Rattus norvegicus: one gene and its partners. The protein of the gene in region 1 purifies or fractionates together with the protein of each later gene. This does not show direct contact. Links are inferred from orthologs where the notes say so. Each region holds a gene or a part of one and is shown on either strand. Other genes may lie near its edges. The genes, in order: Maged2, Nap1l4 and C1qbp.

What was found.
Region 2: the proteins of Maged2 (region 1) and Nap1l4 purify together in Homo sapiens (affinity purification with mass spectrometry; 3 studies listed by BioGRID and IntAct, counting the BioPlex papers as one, with this or other methods). This does not show direct contact. The link is inferred for Rattus norvegicus from reciprocal best matches to the Homo sapiens genes MAGED2 and NAP1L4.
Region 3: the proteins of Maged2 (region 1) and C1qbp purify together in Homo sapiens (affinity purification with mass spectrometry; 3 studies listed by BioGRID and IntAct, counting the BioPlex papers as one, with this or other methods). This does not show direct contact. The link is inferred for Rattus norvegicus from reciprocal best matches to the Homo sapiens genes MAGED2 and C1QBP.

What each region holds. Positions count from the first base shown.
Region 1 is NC_086039.1:23,165,218-23,170,858, reverse strand, and holds the start of Maged2 (melanoma-associated antigen D2), read left to right. Parts: upstream 1-2,338; 5' UTR 2,339-2,409; intron 2,410-2,932; exon of another isoform or gene 2,933-2,958; intron 2,959-3,025; exon of another isoform or gene 3,026-3,209; intron 3,210-3,292; 5' UTR 3,293-3,314; coding exon 3,315-3,359; intron 3,360-3,719; coding exon 3,720-4,211; intron 4,212-4,848; coding exon 4,849-5,157; intron 5,158-5,290; coding exon 5,291-5,354; intron 5,355-5,604; coding exon 5,605-5,641. UniProt on the Homo sapiens protein: Regulates the expression, localization to the plasma membrane and function of the sodium chloride cotransporters SLC12A1 and SLC12A3, two key components of salt reabsorption in the distal renal tubule.
Region 2 is NC_086019.1:208,171,029-208,177,014, reverse strand, and holds the start of Nap1l4 (nucleosome assembly protein 1-like 4), read left to right. Parts: upstream 1-2,445; 5' UTR 2,446-2,538; intron 2,539-5,986. UniProt on the Homo sapiens protein: Acts as a histone chaperone in nucleosome assembly.
Region 3 is NC_086028.1:56,199,423-56,205,302, forward strand, and holds the start of C1qbp (complement component 1 Q subcomponent-binding protein, mitochondrial precursor), read right to left. Parts: upstream 3,764-5,880; 5' UTR 3,763-3,763; coding exon 3,537-3,762; intron 3,110-3,536; coding exon 2,959-3,109; intron 1,277-2,958; coding exon 1,183-1,276; intron 64-1,182; coding exon 1-63.

The DNA of each region.
Region 1 (5,641 bases):
ATGCTTATTCAACTGCCAATATGACATTTCTACCTGGATGTACCACTGGTGTCATAAAATCAACATTCGTTTCTTTTTTAACTCCATTATAAAATCAACGTTCATTTCTTTTTAACTCCATTATTCCATGACTCAGTGAAAGAGTCACTATCTGCATTCTCTGTTAAATAAAGATGTCAATATTTGACTATGTTCTTTCTTCCAATCTATCCCTCCACAATCTAATTACTCATTAAGTCCTAGCAGTCCACCCCGCCCCCCCGCCAATCTCCTCACTATCTCCCCTGCTAACACTCTAGGCCAAACCACAAGCACTGCTTGTTTGGATGACTACCAAGGTCATAGCTATGCTCTCTAGTTCCAAGAAGACACTTAATCCCCATACAACATCTAAGACCTTCTAAAAGACACACCTACAACATCTATGTGGTGACCAGCTGTAGGGTGCTTTCATAGACCCTCAGGACCCTCAGGTTTGAGAACTTTATTATCTTGGTATTGAAAGTTTGTCATAAGTTGGAAAGGATAGGAATTTGGGGTACCAGAATTGGAAGAAAATGAGAGACTACTCTAATGGTCAGCAGACAGAGCCTAGGAGATAAGAAAGTGGTAGGGTGACATTACAAACTTGGGGGAAGTAACAGTTCACAGAAAATGAAACGAATATATAAACCCGCCATGATGCTATATGAAAATGTGTGTGAATCAAATTGTCCATAGAGCATAGGGATTCGTTATCTTTCATTTGTTCAATAAGGGGAAAGGTGACCTCATGGAGCAGATTGTATTTGTGTATAAGAAAGATCTTGAATTTCATTTCTATAGTTTCTATGAAATATAGTTTATAATAAGCTTTTTCTGGGTCTGCATTCACATGCTCTGTTGCTAATGATATTTTGTCTACTTCTCTTTGTCTTTACATTTTATCTTGTTCTCTCGAAGACACCCAATTATTTATGTGAATGTATGAGGTAACAGAAGTGCCATTTCAAACTAGTGAGAAATGTTAATGAGGGTGAATTTGTAAATGCCATAAAAGTCATTACTTTGTACAGTTAACTTACTCTGAAAATGGTAGTCTTTCAAATGATTTGAATCAGCAAAACATTATAAAACAACAGTCCAATATAGACACCAGGATGTCCTTGTAGCATTGTTTGTAATAGTTTGAAAAAGGAGAAACATGCAGAAGGTACATGCAGCTGAACTAAATAAATCAACTATGGGACATCTCTACAAGAAAACATTATACATTACTAAGAAAATATACACTAAGGGAAAGAGGTTTGAATATATAACTTGAAAAAAGCAGTTACAGAACAGTAGCCTGTGTAGGGAGAAAGCCCAAATAATCAGACTATGAATTAAAAAAATATGGAGGAATGTCTGTCAAAATATTCAATATTATGAGTATGTCTGCAGAAGGAGATTAAAGATAGCCGTTCATATTCTGTTACATATTTTTGCTCTTTTTCTGGTTTTCACATGACAACTTTTGTAGTAAGAAAAATAATGATATAAAATAAATAATTTCAATGAATGAATCGTTTTCTTGGGGCAGTTTGGGTTGGAAGGGCTTCAAGACCGAACCTGGTACAGAGGCATAAACATGGGCTTTGGCGTCAGACAGCATTGAGCAGGGCCCCATTGCCCCACCCCCGAGGAAGGGGCGGGGGTAGGGGGCTGCGGAAAGGGGCTGGGCTGGGCTGGGCTGTCTGCAGCTCTAGTCCAGGAGGCTGAGACTTCGAGAGGGACTGAGGAGCAGGCACACGCATCCCAGACTCACTGGAGGACAAGGTGAGGGAACAAGATTGGGCTTTCCTGGTGAGCAGACAGTGGTTCTAACTACCTGAAACCCATAGCTGGGCAGGTGGGCAATTCTTATTTGACCACTGTAGCTGGAGCAGAGGTGCTGCATTTAATGCGGTGTGGGAATGAAGTCGACCAAGAAAGTAGCAAGCTGTATATGCACTGGACAGCAGAGACTGGCAGAGGTGGAGGGGAGGAAAGGGGGAACTGTGCATGTTTGAAGAAGGAAGAATATGGGGGAATAAGAAGGGTAAGGCGAGATCCAGGGACGAGAATAGGGGATGCAGAGAAGGGTTAAGGGACACTGGGGAGGGGGGTGTGCATAGGTAGTACAGAGAAGGATGTAAGGAATGGGAAGAGATTTTTGTAGAGTAAGTAGGAAATGCGATGGGAAATAGGGAGTCTGGAGTCAGGCAGAGGGAATAGGGAGGGGGGAAATAAGGAGTGTTGAGGGGGGAGGGGCAGACGGGCTGGGACGGAGGCCCCCTAGGGAGGCGGAAAGGGGCGGGACCACTTCCGGCCTTTAGTGGGGAGGGCAGTATCTGAGTTTCGGAGGGGCTTGGAGAGAGTGGACACACTCAGGAATTGCAGGAGGACGAGGTAAGTCATGGGCCCCAGCTTTGGATGAGAGCCTGCTAGGGGTCGGCCCCACCCTCTTGGAGTTGGAGAAAACCTGCCTTAAGAGCCAAATCTTACCGAATCCATCCAGCTAGGAAGGGAGGGGACTGGACCCCGTTTGACTGGGCCTAAGTTGGAATCACTAGTTCTATCCTGAGTTGAGGAGGGGGTGTTACAGGGAAGGAGCCAAACCAATTTGGGTTTTACCGTTTGGAGGGGGGCGTGTTAGGATAAAGGGCGGGACCTAGAGACTCTGTGAAATTGATAGGGTGGATGTGAGTAGGGGAGGGGCTAGGACCACCAGACACTGCGACAATTTGGAAGGAGGGAAGACTTGTTGGGGAGGGGGCGGGGCTGAACAGCATTGCGGACCTGGAGAGGGGCGTGTGTAGGAGCTGGGTGCTGGACTGAGACCATGGCCATTGCGCATGCGCTGTATGTATAGCTAGAAAGGGGCGTGTTGAGTAGGGCTTGCAGAGAGACAGGGCCAGCTGCTCAATGCGCATGTGCACGGTGGACTTCAAAGAACGGGTTTGTACTGGGAAAGCAGGCGGGGTTGAAAGGGCGCTGCAGAAGACGCGCATGCGCACTCCAGGCCTGCGGCTGGGGGGGGTGCGCTGGGAAAAGGGGGCGGGGTCCTCAGAGCTGCCGCGCTGGCACATCTTCCTGGAGGAGGGGAGGGTGCGGCTGCAGAGAACTGAGACCTAGAGACAGAATTTCTGTATCTGAGCACCTACTGGTTGGGGCTCGGGGAGGGGCTGGGCTTTGGGGCCCTAAAGAAGGTGAGGCTCAGCTTCTAGGCAGAACAAGGGATACAACGTTCAGCGGGCTCTCCACTTGACCCAGGCCTTCTCTTTGAACTCAGCTTTGCCAGGTGAACTTGAGACATGTCTGACACAAGTGAGAGTGGTGCAGATCCAGCTCGCTCTCAGGTAAGACCGATCCCCCCCACCCTTTTCTTGTTGCTTTGCTTTTCCAGCCCCTTTTGCTGCCCTAAATCCTTGGAGCTTCTCCTCCCATCCTTGTCATTCTCCACCCACTTCTTTGCCTGGGTGCATCCCCTCTCCCCAGTGGAGGGTAGGCCAGAGGGAAGGGAGAGAGGGTGGGCGGGCCCTTGTTCTGTCATTACTTTGTAACTCAGAGAAGGGAGGCCTGTTTAGGCTAGGGTGGTCGGAGCACACCGCAGGTAAGAGTCTTTGCTAGTCAGAGAAGTGTAGCCTCGGAATTTTGGGACCATTTGCCTTGTTGAGGGTGGGAAGAAGGTCAGTAAACTTCTTTGCTTTCCCTTGCAGGGCAAAGCTTCAGAAAAGGACAGCGGCTCCATGATGCAGGACCTGTTGACTGTGACCCAGAACTTGGAGGTCTCAGAGACACCAAAGGCTAAAAAGGCACCAGAGGTCTCAGAAGCTGCAAAGGTCCCCAAAGCCTCTGGGAACCCAAAGGCGACAGAGGTCTCAAAGGCCCCAGAGGCTTCGGAGGCAGCTGCCACCCAGGCCTCACCTACCACACAGCTGAGTGAGACCCAGGTTCTGGCAGCTGAAAACAAGAGTCCAGCAGCTGACACCAAGACACAGAAGGCTGACCTGCAGGCTATGACAATGCCTGCAACCCAGACCAAAACGGTCAGTTCTGTTACCGATTCTAAGGTCAATACAAAGACTCCGGAGACCGAGGCTCCTGCCTCTCAGTCTGGGGCAGATGAACCAGAGCCTGAGGGTGCAGCTGTCCAAGTTCAGGAGAATCAGGATACTCGGCCCAAGGTCAAAGCCAAGAATACCGAAAAGGTAAGATCTCAGCCATAACTGTCCTTGCTTCTCCACATTCATCTTGCTCATTTGTCTGCCAACATTAAAATGATTCCTGTGTTCCTGAAAGACACAGGGAACACTAAGAGGAGTGTGTCACAGTTCTTGTATCCACAGAGCTCACAGGCTGGTGGGGAGATGAGGCAGGAATATGCATAGCTGCAGGCTGACTGGAACACAGTTTTTATATTTACAGAGTAGCTGTACACTGTAGGCCTTGAGGTGGGCATATTCACATGTGTAGTCTCATATCTGAAACTAACTCCGATGGTGTCATTCTGTTGAGCAGGAACCTGATGTCCAAAAAGAGGACTGACTAGTCTACGGTGCTAGAAGCAGAGTCAGTGGTGGACGTGGGAAGACGAAAAGCCTCAGGCCTTATTTCTGACTTGTTCCTGATCCACTCAGGGAGGAAATTCCCAACTGGTAGTCAGTGATAAGCCCATGACTCAGGATGGCTAGTGTCCAGTGAGGAAGACTCTAATGACAAGGGCAGGGTTGGGGGGATGTATCCCAGAAGAGACAGGGTTGGGGGTACTTTCCAGAAGAGACTGAGTTAGGAGAAAGAGCCATCTGTACCACTTGCTGATCTCTACCTTCCCCTCTTTTGATGCAGGGGAAACACCTGGAAGGGGAAGAGGACGGCAACAGTGATCAGAGTCAGACTTCAGAAACCACAGGTGGTCGGAGGGTCTCAAAGGCCCTAATGGCCTCCATGGCCCGTAGAGCTTCAAGGGGACCCATAGCGTTCTGGGCCCGCAGGGCATCAAGGACTCGGTTGGCTGCCTGGGCTCGGAGAGCTTTGCTCTCCCTGAGGTCACCTAGAGCTCGGAGAGGCAAGGCCCGAAGAAGAGCTGCCAAGCTGCAGTCATCCCAGGAACCCGAAGCACCCCCACCCAGAGATGTGGCCCTTTTACAAGGAAGGGTATGAACTCCATCCTTGACAGGTCACCTTTTCCATTGCCCTGCCTGATATCTTCTCTGTTGTGCTTTGGAGTGTGCTGTGGTTTGTTTTTTGTTGTTTGTTTTTGGCTTTTCACCATTTCTTTCTCACCTAGGCAAATGATTTGGTGAAGTACCTGTTGGCTAAAGATCAGACAAAGATTCCCATCAGGCGCTCAGGTAGAGTCCCACAAACACTGTCCCTCTCCTGGGCTCTGCCTTCTTGCCTTCTTACAAATGTGCTGGGGACAGCCTTCATTCTCCTGCTCCCGCCCCTTCTCGCAAAGTTCTCCCAACAGTAGGGTCTCTATTGAAAAGCCCCCCAACCTGGTTTTGCCACCCATGGCATGGGCAACAGAGTGTCTTAACTGGGCATCGGGGTTACCCGCTATCTCTACAGCACAGATGCTTGCAACACTCTCATTTGCAGATATGCTGAAGGACATCATCAAAGAATATACGGATGT
Region 2 (5,986 bases), on another chromosome or scaffold:
CTGGGATTAAAGGTGTGTGCCACCAGTGCATGGTGTCTTATTTTTTCTTTTTTAATATTAAAAAAAAATATGTTTGGGAGGACTTTTACACTGCCCAGAGCATCATTAGAAGAGGGGGGTGTGGTGTGCGTAGTCCAAACCAAATGTCCCTGGCTGCCAAACTATTTTCTATACTTGTCTGATTTAACTACATCTACTCCCCAAATAAAAATGAGGTAAACCCTGGCTGTGGTGCTGCACGGCTTTAATCCAGCACCACGGAGGCAGAGGCAGGCTGATTTTTGTGAGTTCCAGAACGGCCAAGTCTTTTCCACAGAGAAACCCTGTCTTGGAAAAACAAAACCAGCCACCAACCAATCAAAAACAACCTTATATCTTGAGGCATGTCAGAACAATTTAAGTAAAAACATATAAGCTTATTTACTTTTCTTAATTTTGGGAAAGGAACTGTTTTTTTTTTTATATATATATAGTTCCAATTTAAGGATGAGAGAGAAATAATACAGTAAAACAATGCTGTAGACCTTCTGGCCTTCAGTAACCACACTTCGTTTTAATTTTTTGTTTAGTTTTGAGACAGGGTTGTGTTGCTCAGACTGGCCCTAAACTGGGTACATAGCTAAAAGTGACAAATTGCTCATTCTATCACCCGCATCTTTTATCTCACAAGTGTTGGGATTGAAGACCATGCATGCTGCATCACCACATCAGCTTTGTTTCCAACTACCCTGTTGGTAGATTTTGTTAGGAAAAGACCCAGTATCTGCAATCAAGTTATTTACTTTTATCAGATGTTGTCTATTGCTTCCATGAAAACACCATGACCAAAAAGCAAATTGGGGAGGACAGGGTTTATTTGGCTTACACATATTGCTGTTCATTATTGCAGGAAGTCAGGATAGGAACACAAGCAGGGCTGGAACCTGGAGGCAGGAGCTGATGCATAGGCCTTGGAGGGGTGCTGCTTACTGACTTGTACAGCTTGCTTTCTTACAAAACCCACCATCAGCCCAGGGATGATAGTACCCATAATGGGCCTGGCCCTCCCTCATTAATCATTACGAAAATGCCTTACGATTAGATCTTATGAAGGCATTTTTCTCAAAGTTCCCTTCTTTTAGATAACTACACACAAAACCAGTCAGTACAGATGTGTTGAACTTTTCTACCCGAAGGGTAGTCCCAGGTCAGGCAGGAACTGTAGACAGAGGGCCAGAAGGCCTTGGGAAGTAGGAGGTGCTTTGAGTTGTAAGTTATCTGGGAAGAGCGCTGCCGACAAAGCCTCAGGAAGATCAAACCTTAAAAAGAGCCGGTTAGAGTTACAAGCCCAAAATCTTACCCGCGCCCAACAGCCCCTTTAAATAGGCACGGAACCGCGCGTGCGCCGAAGTACACGTCACTACTCTATTTACATATAGCTCGCGGGCTTAGGCTCGGCGCCGTGCCCCCTCAACAGATTTTGATTGGATGCCGCACCTCCTAGTGCCTGGTGCAGTTGATAAACATCTCTATTGTCCATTCATCGCCCGTCTTGCTCCCAGAGGGCGGAGCCTGGCAGTACGGCCAATGGCAGGTGGTTTTGTTGGCGACCACGGCGGCGCAGCCCCGGAGCGAGCTTAGGACGGGCGCCACTGCCGCAGGAGGCGCGAGGTGCGGTGCTGGCGGGTAACGGCGCGGCGGGCGGCTGGAGAGGGACTGGGGCGGAGGAGGCAGAGGCGGGGGTTTGGGTGGCGCGGGAAGGCCGACGCCCCATGCGGCGAGCAGAGGCGGGCCGCGGCCCGGTCAGAGGTCCGTGTGGCGGGTGGCGGCGGATGGCGGGCCCGTCCCTCCTCAGTGCAGCCCCGCCCCCGGCTGAAGGTCAGCGCGCTTTGTTCCCGCCGCCCGCGAGTCCACGCGAAGGCGCGCAGGCGGTTCCTTGAGAGGAACAAGGCCTCCCCAGCGAGGTGGGCCTGGGTGCGCCTTGTCTTAGACCGCGCCTGGGAAGGAAGGGGTCTACTGGGCCGCCGCCTCGCCCTTCCGGGCTTTGCATGCTCTCCGCACAGTGCCCTAGTAGACTTCACTCTCTGAGTCTGCTGTGGAGGCGGAGCCAGTGTAGTGACACACAGTGAGCCTTCAGACCCGTGGGCCCCCTACAGTCGCCAGCAGTACCCCTTCTCCCAGGGGTATTCTTGGGGCAAATTGGCCTGCACTGACTCCAATTCTGCTTTGCTGCCTCTTGGAGGAATTTCCGCGGTAGTTTTCTGCGCGTACGTTGCCGTAATGAGAGTATGCATATTCCCCAGCAAAAGACTCAAGTTCAAGTTTTTGGTCCAAAAGTTACATGCTTTTAAGTTACTGCCACCTTCCTGTCATAGTAGTTGCCTCCTCTCGATGACTAATCTCTGCTTACTACACACCAGGGGCTCCTTTAAGCTCCTGACGTGTCTTAACTCTATTCACAGTAATACGTGATGTAGGTGCAACAGGCAGAGTGTGCCTTAGCAAGAAACGCCTGGGTTCAGAAGTGGTTCAGTTTGTGGAAGATTTGTAGGTTGTCAGGTGAGCATCCCTAATCTGGAAGTCCAAAATGTGCCATAAAGCTCGAAAAGAAATGGGTTTTGGGATGTTCTGATTTTTTTGATATAGGAGTGTTTGACCTATATTGCACGTTAAGTCTCTGTTAGGTCAAGTGTGATGGTAGCTTGCATCTAAACTCAGATTAAATCTGGCTCAGTTTTAATAGTAAATATTTATTGTTAAATACCGTGTTGAATCAGACACCATTCAGATGATCAGTGAGATTCAGAGAGAACAGAGCTTTACAGAGGGATGGTTCACCTGTCTACAGCGACATCATTTTATGCCTTTAACTAAATGCTGTAAAACTCAGTTGTCGGTCGGTTTTTTTCCTTAGTTGACCAATACGATTGGTTCACAATGTCATAAGATCTAAACACTTATATTTTGATGTTTTAGCTTTAAATCCTGAACTGTTTTTCAGAGTTAATATAGAATAACTGGTGAAAATAATAGTGATTTTGTAATTTTCTGGAAATTCTGAAATTTCATTACCAAAGTTCTGGGGAGAAAATGTATATATTTTTGGGATCCTCACAGAAGTCATGGCAAGTACGGCTTGTGAGCTGGCCATTTGACTTTGTGTAGTTGAGTATATAGAGATTACCAGTGGGTAATAAATAGTACTGCAGGGATGGGATTCTTAGGGGTGAGGTAGTTCACCACTTTGGTCTGACTTTGTGCTGGAATCTTAAAATGTCCCAGCTAAGATAGATATAGCAGTATACACAGCTGCTCTGGAACTCTTTAAAATCTGTCTTGGTAACACAGCAAGACCCCTATCTCACTTTTTTCCCTATTTGCCTGTTAGTGAAAGTATACTAAGTCCCTGATAGCTGTCTTTATGCCGTGTATAAAAGTTTGTGTTGTATTTGTATACAAATAAAAAGGCCAGTACCAAAAATTTTGGTTTTGAAAGAAGACAATTCTGGGCAAGAGAGTATTAGAGGTGGGAAAGATGGCTTAGCGGTTAAGATCATTGCATGCTCTTGCAGAGGATCTAGGTTTGAGTCCCATATTCATAGGGTGGCTCCTAATGGTCTATAACTGAAGTCCCAGGGTTCCAACACCCCCTTCTGGCCTCTGCAATTAGTGCACAGACAAGCAGGGAAACCACCCATACACATAAATAAGTTAAAATTTTAAGAAAGGGTAGTTTAAATCTGTGAAAGTCTAAGGGCAACTCTCAGTGTGAAATAGGCAGATAGATGAGTACTTTTGCTTCTTGGATCTAGGCCCAGGTGCCTGAAAAAGAGGCAGTAGTAATGAGCTGTTGGGAACCTCTAGCCAATGAGTACAAGGTTTTTTGTTTACTTAAAAGGAAGTGTAAGTGGGTGTGCTGACTTGTATCTGTATTCCAGCGCTTCAGAGGTAGAAGCAGGAAGCTCAAGGCCAGCCAGCACTACAGCAAGAAAGATGACGTGCATTTAGGCATTTAGAATTGAGGCTGATGTCATTTTGCTGCACCTATTACTGTAGTGGAGGAAGGTGCTCGGGAAATAGCAGGGACTTTCTTCTACCCTCGGCCTTTGCTAGGGATTCCCTGCTAATGGTAGCGAGGAGGCTAGACCACGCTTGGGAGACCTGTTATTGATCGTAGATTGGGAAGCCTATTTAAATAGGTAAATAGCAGAGTCTTGGATTGGACTTTTAGGCATTTTGAAGACATAGTTGATGGTAGCATAGATTTGCTTTCATTTAGCTGTCAGATCTCTGTCTTCTTTAGGGAAGCTCGCCTGTTTTGGTCTGTTATTGAATTTTACAGTAACAGGCATATTGTATTTTTATTGTGTGAAGACTATAAAAGCTAGCTTTGTGAACTTTACCTTTTGACGTTGACTGCTTGCTGCACAGCCTTAAATTTCCTTTTTTCTGTGTTCTGTCAGCTGTTGCAACAGTGTGCTTCCATCCTGTGTCTAGAAAACTCAGTCTAGTGAGGTGAGATTAGCTCTGAGCTTTATGTACAAAAAGATATTTATATTTATGATTGAAGTCCCACTCAGCTGCTTCAGAGTAGCTTTATGGCTTTGTGTCTTATTCATGCAAGATCTCCAGCACATGTCGGGTCTCCAGTGTAAAGCAAATAGTGAGTGCTCTTGCCTTCCTGCAGTGTGAGAGTTAGATGCAGGGGGACACTTCTGAGACACTAAAGTCTTGGGAGGTTGTAATTTCAAATATGGGGGAAGACAATGCCTCTTAACAAGAAGAGATGTTAGTGCTGGATTAAGAAAACTGTCTTAATATCTGCTTGTTCATATTTTCATCACTTTTCCAAGTGCTACAGAGGTACCTCTTCTACCAGAGGAGCGTTTTGCTTGAGGAAAAAGAAAAAAAATTTTCCTTTCTTCCCGAAGCCTGATGGTTTGTTTGGCCTCTAGAAATCTCTGGTGAGATGACCTGCTGGTGGTATTTCAAGTACATGTTGTAAGCAGGTGTGGCTAAGGAAAAGTCCTCATCTTGTGTCTTCCAAAATTGCTTAGGATAGGCCAAGATGTTAAAAGGTAGTTCAGTACCATGGAACTTACATTCAGGGATTAATTAACTGGGCTGAGATATCTGGCTACCTGTTTCATGCCAAGTCCTTTGCTAAGCCCTGAACTCTGCATTGAGTCAGTGGACATGCTCTGCCCTCCTGGAAGTTTTTCTTCTTTGGTCCTTGGCCTCACTGATGAGAAGTTCCAGAAGCAAGCAGAAAAACACCACCTAGCACCTGCAGTGACCAATCTAATGTACATCTGATTGCTTAAAAATATTATAGGCTAACAAGATGGCTCAGTTGGCAAAAGGTGTCTGCTGCCAGGCTTTAAGACCTGAATGTGTTCCCTGGCTCCACATGGTTCAAAGGAGAGAACTGACTCCTGGAAATTGTTTCTGACCTCTATGTGTATGGCACAAACAACTTCTCTACCCCCATCCTAGGGGCCTTTTCTGGTTCCTTCTTAAAACAGTTCATTCCTTTTTTCCCTTTGACATGATCCTAAGTTGCAAGTCAGTACTCCTGTAGGACCTAGTTACACATCCTTAGCTTCTCTGGCCTGCCACTTTTCAGGCTGTGAACCAAGTTACTGTGCTTTAGGGTTCTTTATATTCGTGCACATACATGCATATGTGCTGGAAGTAGAAGTCAGAGGACAACTTCTGGGAGTCTGTTCTTTCCTACCATATGCGACCCAGTAATCAAACTCACATTATCAGGCTTAGTGGCAAGCACCTTTATCCACTGACCCATCTCTCCAGGCCAGTTTAGGTTGGTAGCAGTCATTTGCTTATCTTGTGTTAAGACTTTGAAGACCTTTGGCTCTTATGAAGACAGATAATATATAAAAGTGTAGGTTTTGGGGGGTATACCACTCCACAGCTTATGCCTTTCATTGTCTATCAGGAGTGCCGGTTTAGGTGTTCATGGTTAAGAGCCCTGGCTGCTCTTGCT
Region 3 (5,880 bases), on another chromosome or scaffold:
GGTCTTCTTGCCATCAGTCTTTGTAACTTCAACCACAAAATTGGGAGTTGATGTCAGTTCTGGCTGGAGAGACAGGAATAAGTCAGCACATGCCAGTGTTGGTAGGGTGCCCCAGGAAGTTCAGAATGTCCGACAGCCACGCCATTAGGTTATTATTACCCATTTCTTAGCCTTAGGCAGTGGATAAGGCACTCAAATCTTCCAACAGCCCTAAACAGGTTATCAATCACATGGGTTTAGAATGGCATCTCTGCTCCCCCACACTGCTGAAGCACAGACCTAGACCTCCTTCCCCTTTGACTGTTTTGGTACAGGATCAGAGCCTGGAACATAGGGGCTCTAGCTAAGTGGCCACCTTAACAGAAATGGCAGAACCTTCCCTTTACTGTGACCCAAAGGACGGGCCCAGGCAGCGGATAAGGAGTTGGGTACAGGCTAGGATAGAAGCACAACAGGGAACTCCGCTCTTCATGCTTGTCAGTACACAAGACTGCCATCTGCTTAGTCAGATGGCCTGGGGATCCTGTAGCCCCCTCAGTGGTTGGCTCCTAGGCCAGGCACACTATTTCTAAAATGTCTGAATACTATCTAGACCCAGTCACGAGGGCCAGCAACTAAAGGAAAAATCTCAACTGATCAAATGTTAAAAATCTCTTAAGGCTGAGCTGGCAAGGTGGTTCACCGGTGTTTGCTGCCAAAGCCTGATGTTTAACCCTGGAACCCACATGGCAGAAGGATGGAATTGACGTTCCTATAAGTTGCTTTTGACCTCTACAATTGCACGCATAAGCCCCAAACATACAAATAAACACAATTTAAAAAGCCCCGCCCCCGGCCTTCCTATTTTGGTCACATGACTAGTGTTGATTACCCACTTGTCATCTTTCACACTGAAAACACTCCAAACGATAGCTTCTGGATACTAAGTATCCCCACTCCCCAACACTGGCAGGGGTGAGGGCACAGGCCCGTGATAAACCCTAAGCCCTTAGGGGACAACACTCTACAAACATGGTCCATCCACAACTCCAGCTAAAACTCACTCGGAATGACTGCATTACAGGTCTCAGGAGGCTCACCCTTCACCTCACCCTAGCAGGGAGGATTTTAAAAAGAGTGAAAGTGAAACAGTTCTTGCTTTTGGGGACAGAAATCTTGGCTGTCTGCCATGTCACTGCTTACCTCCTGCTCTTCGGCCTTCTGCCCCTGTGAGGGCTCCTCTTCACCATCAAAGGTTGGAGGGATGCTATTGTTAATGTTGAAAGTGACAGTGATCCTAGAAAGGCAGGTAGAGATACACCAAGGTACACATTAACCTAGTGGTAACAGGAGAGCAAGGCCCACTGAAACAATGTCTCCATCCTAGCCACACAGGGAAGTGAAGAGAATTTCATCTGAAGTGTACCTACAAGTTAAATGACTACAGCTGTGGATGAAGCTGCCAGGTTGGTGTCCTGGGGTCTTCCCATGGAAGCTAATGGAGGTGGACAGCCATCTGCCCCGGAAAGCCTCACAGCCACTGCAGAGCAGATTCACTTTGCACAACCACAAACTAGGAACTGAAACACCTAGTGGCTTCTTTCCCTTCTGGGGGGATTCTGGAGCTCAAATAAGTACCCTGCCCATGCTTGGCGGAAGTTCACAGCTGCACCCTGGCCCTTGTGTGACTGTAAGAATTCTTATGTGATGGACAGCACCTGTTCTAAAGTCAGAGACAGTTCCTTTGTCTCAACACCTGGAAAAGAAGTTCCGCTTACACAGATTCAGAGGGCCAACCAACCCAAGAAGAGTGTACTGGGGGCTGCTCCCTGGAGTCCAACTGGGCAATGCCTTGCTGCCACTTTGCCCCCGAAAAAAGAATGGCAAGGTGAACCAAAGGGCATGTACAACCTGCGATAGCCCAGACTAAACCTACTTCTTCCTTCCCTCCCTCCTTCCCTCTCTTATTTTGGTTTTTCAAGACAGGACTTATTTGTGTAGCCTTGGCTGTCTTAGTACTTGCTGGTGGACCAGGCTGGCTTTGAACTTACAGAAATCTACCTGTCTATGCCTCCCAGGGTGATAGAATTAAAGGCGGTGAGCCCCACCGACACTCAGCCTGGCCTTGAACTTTCTAATCTACACACACACACTTACTGCTAAGCTTATAAACCCCCGCACCCCCAATAAAACTTTCTTGTACACTGTGCTCCTGAAGCACTGGGGATGGATCCTGGAGCCTCACACAAGCTAGAGAAGCACTTAAGAGTCCAAGTAGACTTAGCCAAGGAAGACTGTGGGTGAATGGGTAACACGAAACAGCACAGACAAGGGTTTAACGGTTTTAGGGGTGCCAGGTGTGGTGGCGCATGTCTGCAACCTCAGCACACAGGTGTCTGAAGCAGCAGGACCCAGAGTCTGAGCCCAGTCTATGCTACACAGCAGCCACACAGAGACCTTGTCTCAAACCGAATCCCTTGAGGAGAGGAAGAGCTAAGTTTGGCTAAGAACCTTCTCCCTTTGTCTGATGGCCTTTCTACATGGTAACTTCTTCCTGTGACTTAACAGTTACACACGTGCACTTTCAACTATTATAAACACAAGCCAGACGGGAGTTCTAAACAAATGATTTACCAGTACTATTAAACAACAAAACAACAACCCAATGCTTAATCCAGACTGGCACAGCACCCCTCATTAATAACCCAATAACTGCGTTTGCCCCTCCCACAGGCTTCCCTCTACATACTCTGGAGCTGCTTCAGGTCTCCTTAATACAAGCCATAGAAGCTTGTATTCATTCAGTGAATGCACTCCCTGGAACCTAAGAACTTTCCCAAGTTTAATGCTTTCTTAAAGCCATTTTATCAAAGCATTGGGCCTAAGCTCAGGCTCTTCTGGGGATGGTCAGAACAGGATGCTGTAACCAGGAACTTCTGACTTGAGAATCCAGTATACAACCCCTGGGCCAGTACTTACTTTTCTCCGGCAACTTTGCGCAATAATTTAGCCTCCGTGCCGTTCACTTCCAGCTCCCAATCTCCAGACATTTTGGGAAGGGACTTATGCTTCTGGATCTTCTTTTCTTCCTTAATTTCATCAGTCAAAAATTCAACAAAGGCCTTGTCTCCTAAAAGAAAGGCCAAAATGATCAACAGTGAGAAAAGGTAGTTGCTCTAACCGATTGACTCGGACTGCGTGTAATCTATTCTTAAGGCTGTTCTAAGACTGTAGCGTAAATCACGCCTCAAAACGTCCGTTCCTCACTCTATAAAAACACCAGGATATATTTACTGAGCTGAACTGATATTACTTATCATGAGATGGTTATTTCTCATCATGAACTCATTACTATTACTTCCCGTATAAAACAAAAGAATTTCCAACTATCCTCTTCCATGTCCAAAAAGACGTGGACCCAACAACCACACTTTGAAACCACGACCCTACCGACTTTGCTAAGCCACATTTTCAAGACGCGAGAAGGGGAACCTGCGATCATGAGGGCCAGTTCCGAGCTGGATCGCCGCATTCCGACTAGGGTGCGTGAACCTTACCTTCCGTGTGCAGAGCGCCGCAGCCGCACGCGCAGGGAACCGGGGGCTGCAGGAGGCCAGAGCGCCGAGCGGAGCCGGCTCGTACGCTGAGCAAACCGAAGGGCCGGAGGCATGGCCGGGGCGCGGGCTGCAGTAAATGCCGAAGCGGCGGGGCCGGGATGGAGGCTCGGAGGCCCGTGGCGGCGGCACCCAGGGCGCGGGGCACGCAGCGCAGCAGAGGGAGCATCGCGGGGTGGACACGTGCAAAGGGAAGGACGACCGGGCCAAGACACCGTGTGACCTCGCGAGCCGCCGGAAGCCCCGCCCTCGCCCGGGAAGCGCTATCCACGTCGGAGGACTGCAGTACCCGGGCCGGACCGCACCGCGCCCTCTGCTGGGAGCCGCCAGCGCAGCCCGAGAGGCCTTGGCTCAGCTGTATTCTACCCTGGCCATCAAATCTCCCTTGCTGCCCGTTCTCCCCAATTCACCTGCTTTTCTCAACCCAAGCCACACTTTGTTACTTCGTGGAATACGCTCAGGTCTCATCCCAACAAAGATCACTTAGCGGTCTTCTGAAACCGCCTAGTTCTGAAAAGCTCAGACTGACCTGCATGCAGCTGCTGTGGAGTGGGCATCCAGGCCTCACATTAGACCCAGAATCCCAAGAACAGGATGAAGGATTTATGCTGGAAACCTCTGCACCCCCTAACAATTCGTGTACCGGTTTTAATGGACCATCGTTTTTTTTTGGGGGGGGGGGAGCAGGAATAGATGGCTTTCATCATCACATTTAGGTTGAGAATCAGGGATAACAGGCTGGAGACAGGGCTCAGTGGTTAAGAGCACTGTTGCTCTTACAGAGGCCTGGAGTTCTATTGCCAGCATCCACACGCCTTCTCACAACCATCTACCTCCAGTTCCAGGGCAGCAGACACCCTCTTTTGACTTTTACCAACACCATGAACGAACGTAGTGCAGACATGCAGGCAAAACTCTCAAGGACATTAGAAACACACACACACAAAACAAAACCAACAAAATCCAAAACCCAACCCAAGAAACAAAAACAAAATTTAACCAACCGAATTTCACACACACACACACACACACACACACACACACACACACACACACACACACACACCCCAAAAACCCCGCTCATGCTCTCTGGTCCTAGCATCTGGGAGGTAGAGGCAAACAGCCGAGTTTAAGGTCAGCCTGGTTACACAGCATGTTCCAGAACAGCCAGGGTTACATAAAAGACCTCTCAAAACACCAAAAGCAAATGTTGGATACCGAGTCTTACTGAATGAATGGCAATGAAACTACTGTTTAATATTCTAAACAGCATTCTTTAAATAAGGGAAAGGAGGCCCAAAATAAGAGGCCACACAGATCGTATACAAGATTCAGGTTTTTATGGACTTAATAGTCAAAAGTAATTTTTGAGCATTATATACAAGAACTGTTTCTTATGTTTGAGATCAGAGAGATTAGAGTGCAAGTCCAAATCCACTTCTTATTTTTCTACACTACAGCAATCGATATAAAATTGTTTCCTCACAGGTATAGTCTAGCTTATGTGCTCAAGGAATGGCATCTTAGATGCATGGCCACAGTTCCAAACAGGTCCTGGTAGGTAGCTGCAGACAAGGATTGTGTCACAGTAAATATGTTGCTGTGTTTTGGAATTCTGTTACAAGAGAGCAAAGGCTCTCACAGGGGACTGGTAATGAAACTTGTCCCGGGTGTCGTGGCCATGGTTACAGAGAAGATAAACACCGGCAGGACGCAGGGCTGCTAACTGAAGTCCAGCTGCTTGTTGGAGGCTAGTCTGTGCAGACTGGAGTCTTCATGTTGGAGAGTTTGCCAACTGGAAAAGCAGCTTAGGTTGTACTGTAGTAAAATCACCAAACATTTCACTTTCTGAAGGAAGCTTGAAGAGTGCTGTCCCTTCGGCTTAAGACAAGCATTAACTTCTTTGTAGTGATCTGTGGAGTCAGAATGGGGTTCCCACCTGATGTAATCCCTGAGCAACTGTGTTGAAAGGTAATTTTTTAAAAAGCTTAATAAAAAACTAAATACTCTATTAGAATTCTCCCACAATGTTTGGGTGGTAAGCAGATTTCTGTACAGATACGTTAGTTATGTAGAAACGGTATCCTTCACTCCTTTTTCTGGGGAGCCCCAGTCCTCTCTGCAGCAGTCCCTCCAGGTTAAAGTCCTAGGCCTCCTCTGGAGCCAGCCACTGCAATCTACGTTTCCTTTAACCCAGAAAACACCTCTTAAGTTTACTAAGGAACAGAAACTGTCCATTGCTGAGGAATATATTACCTACTCCTTGTTTTCTTTAATTAGCATAATG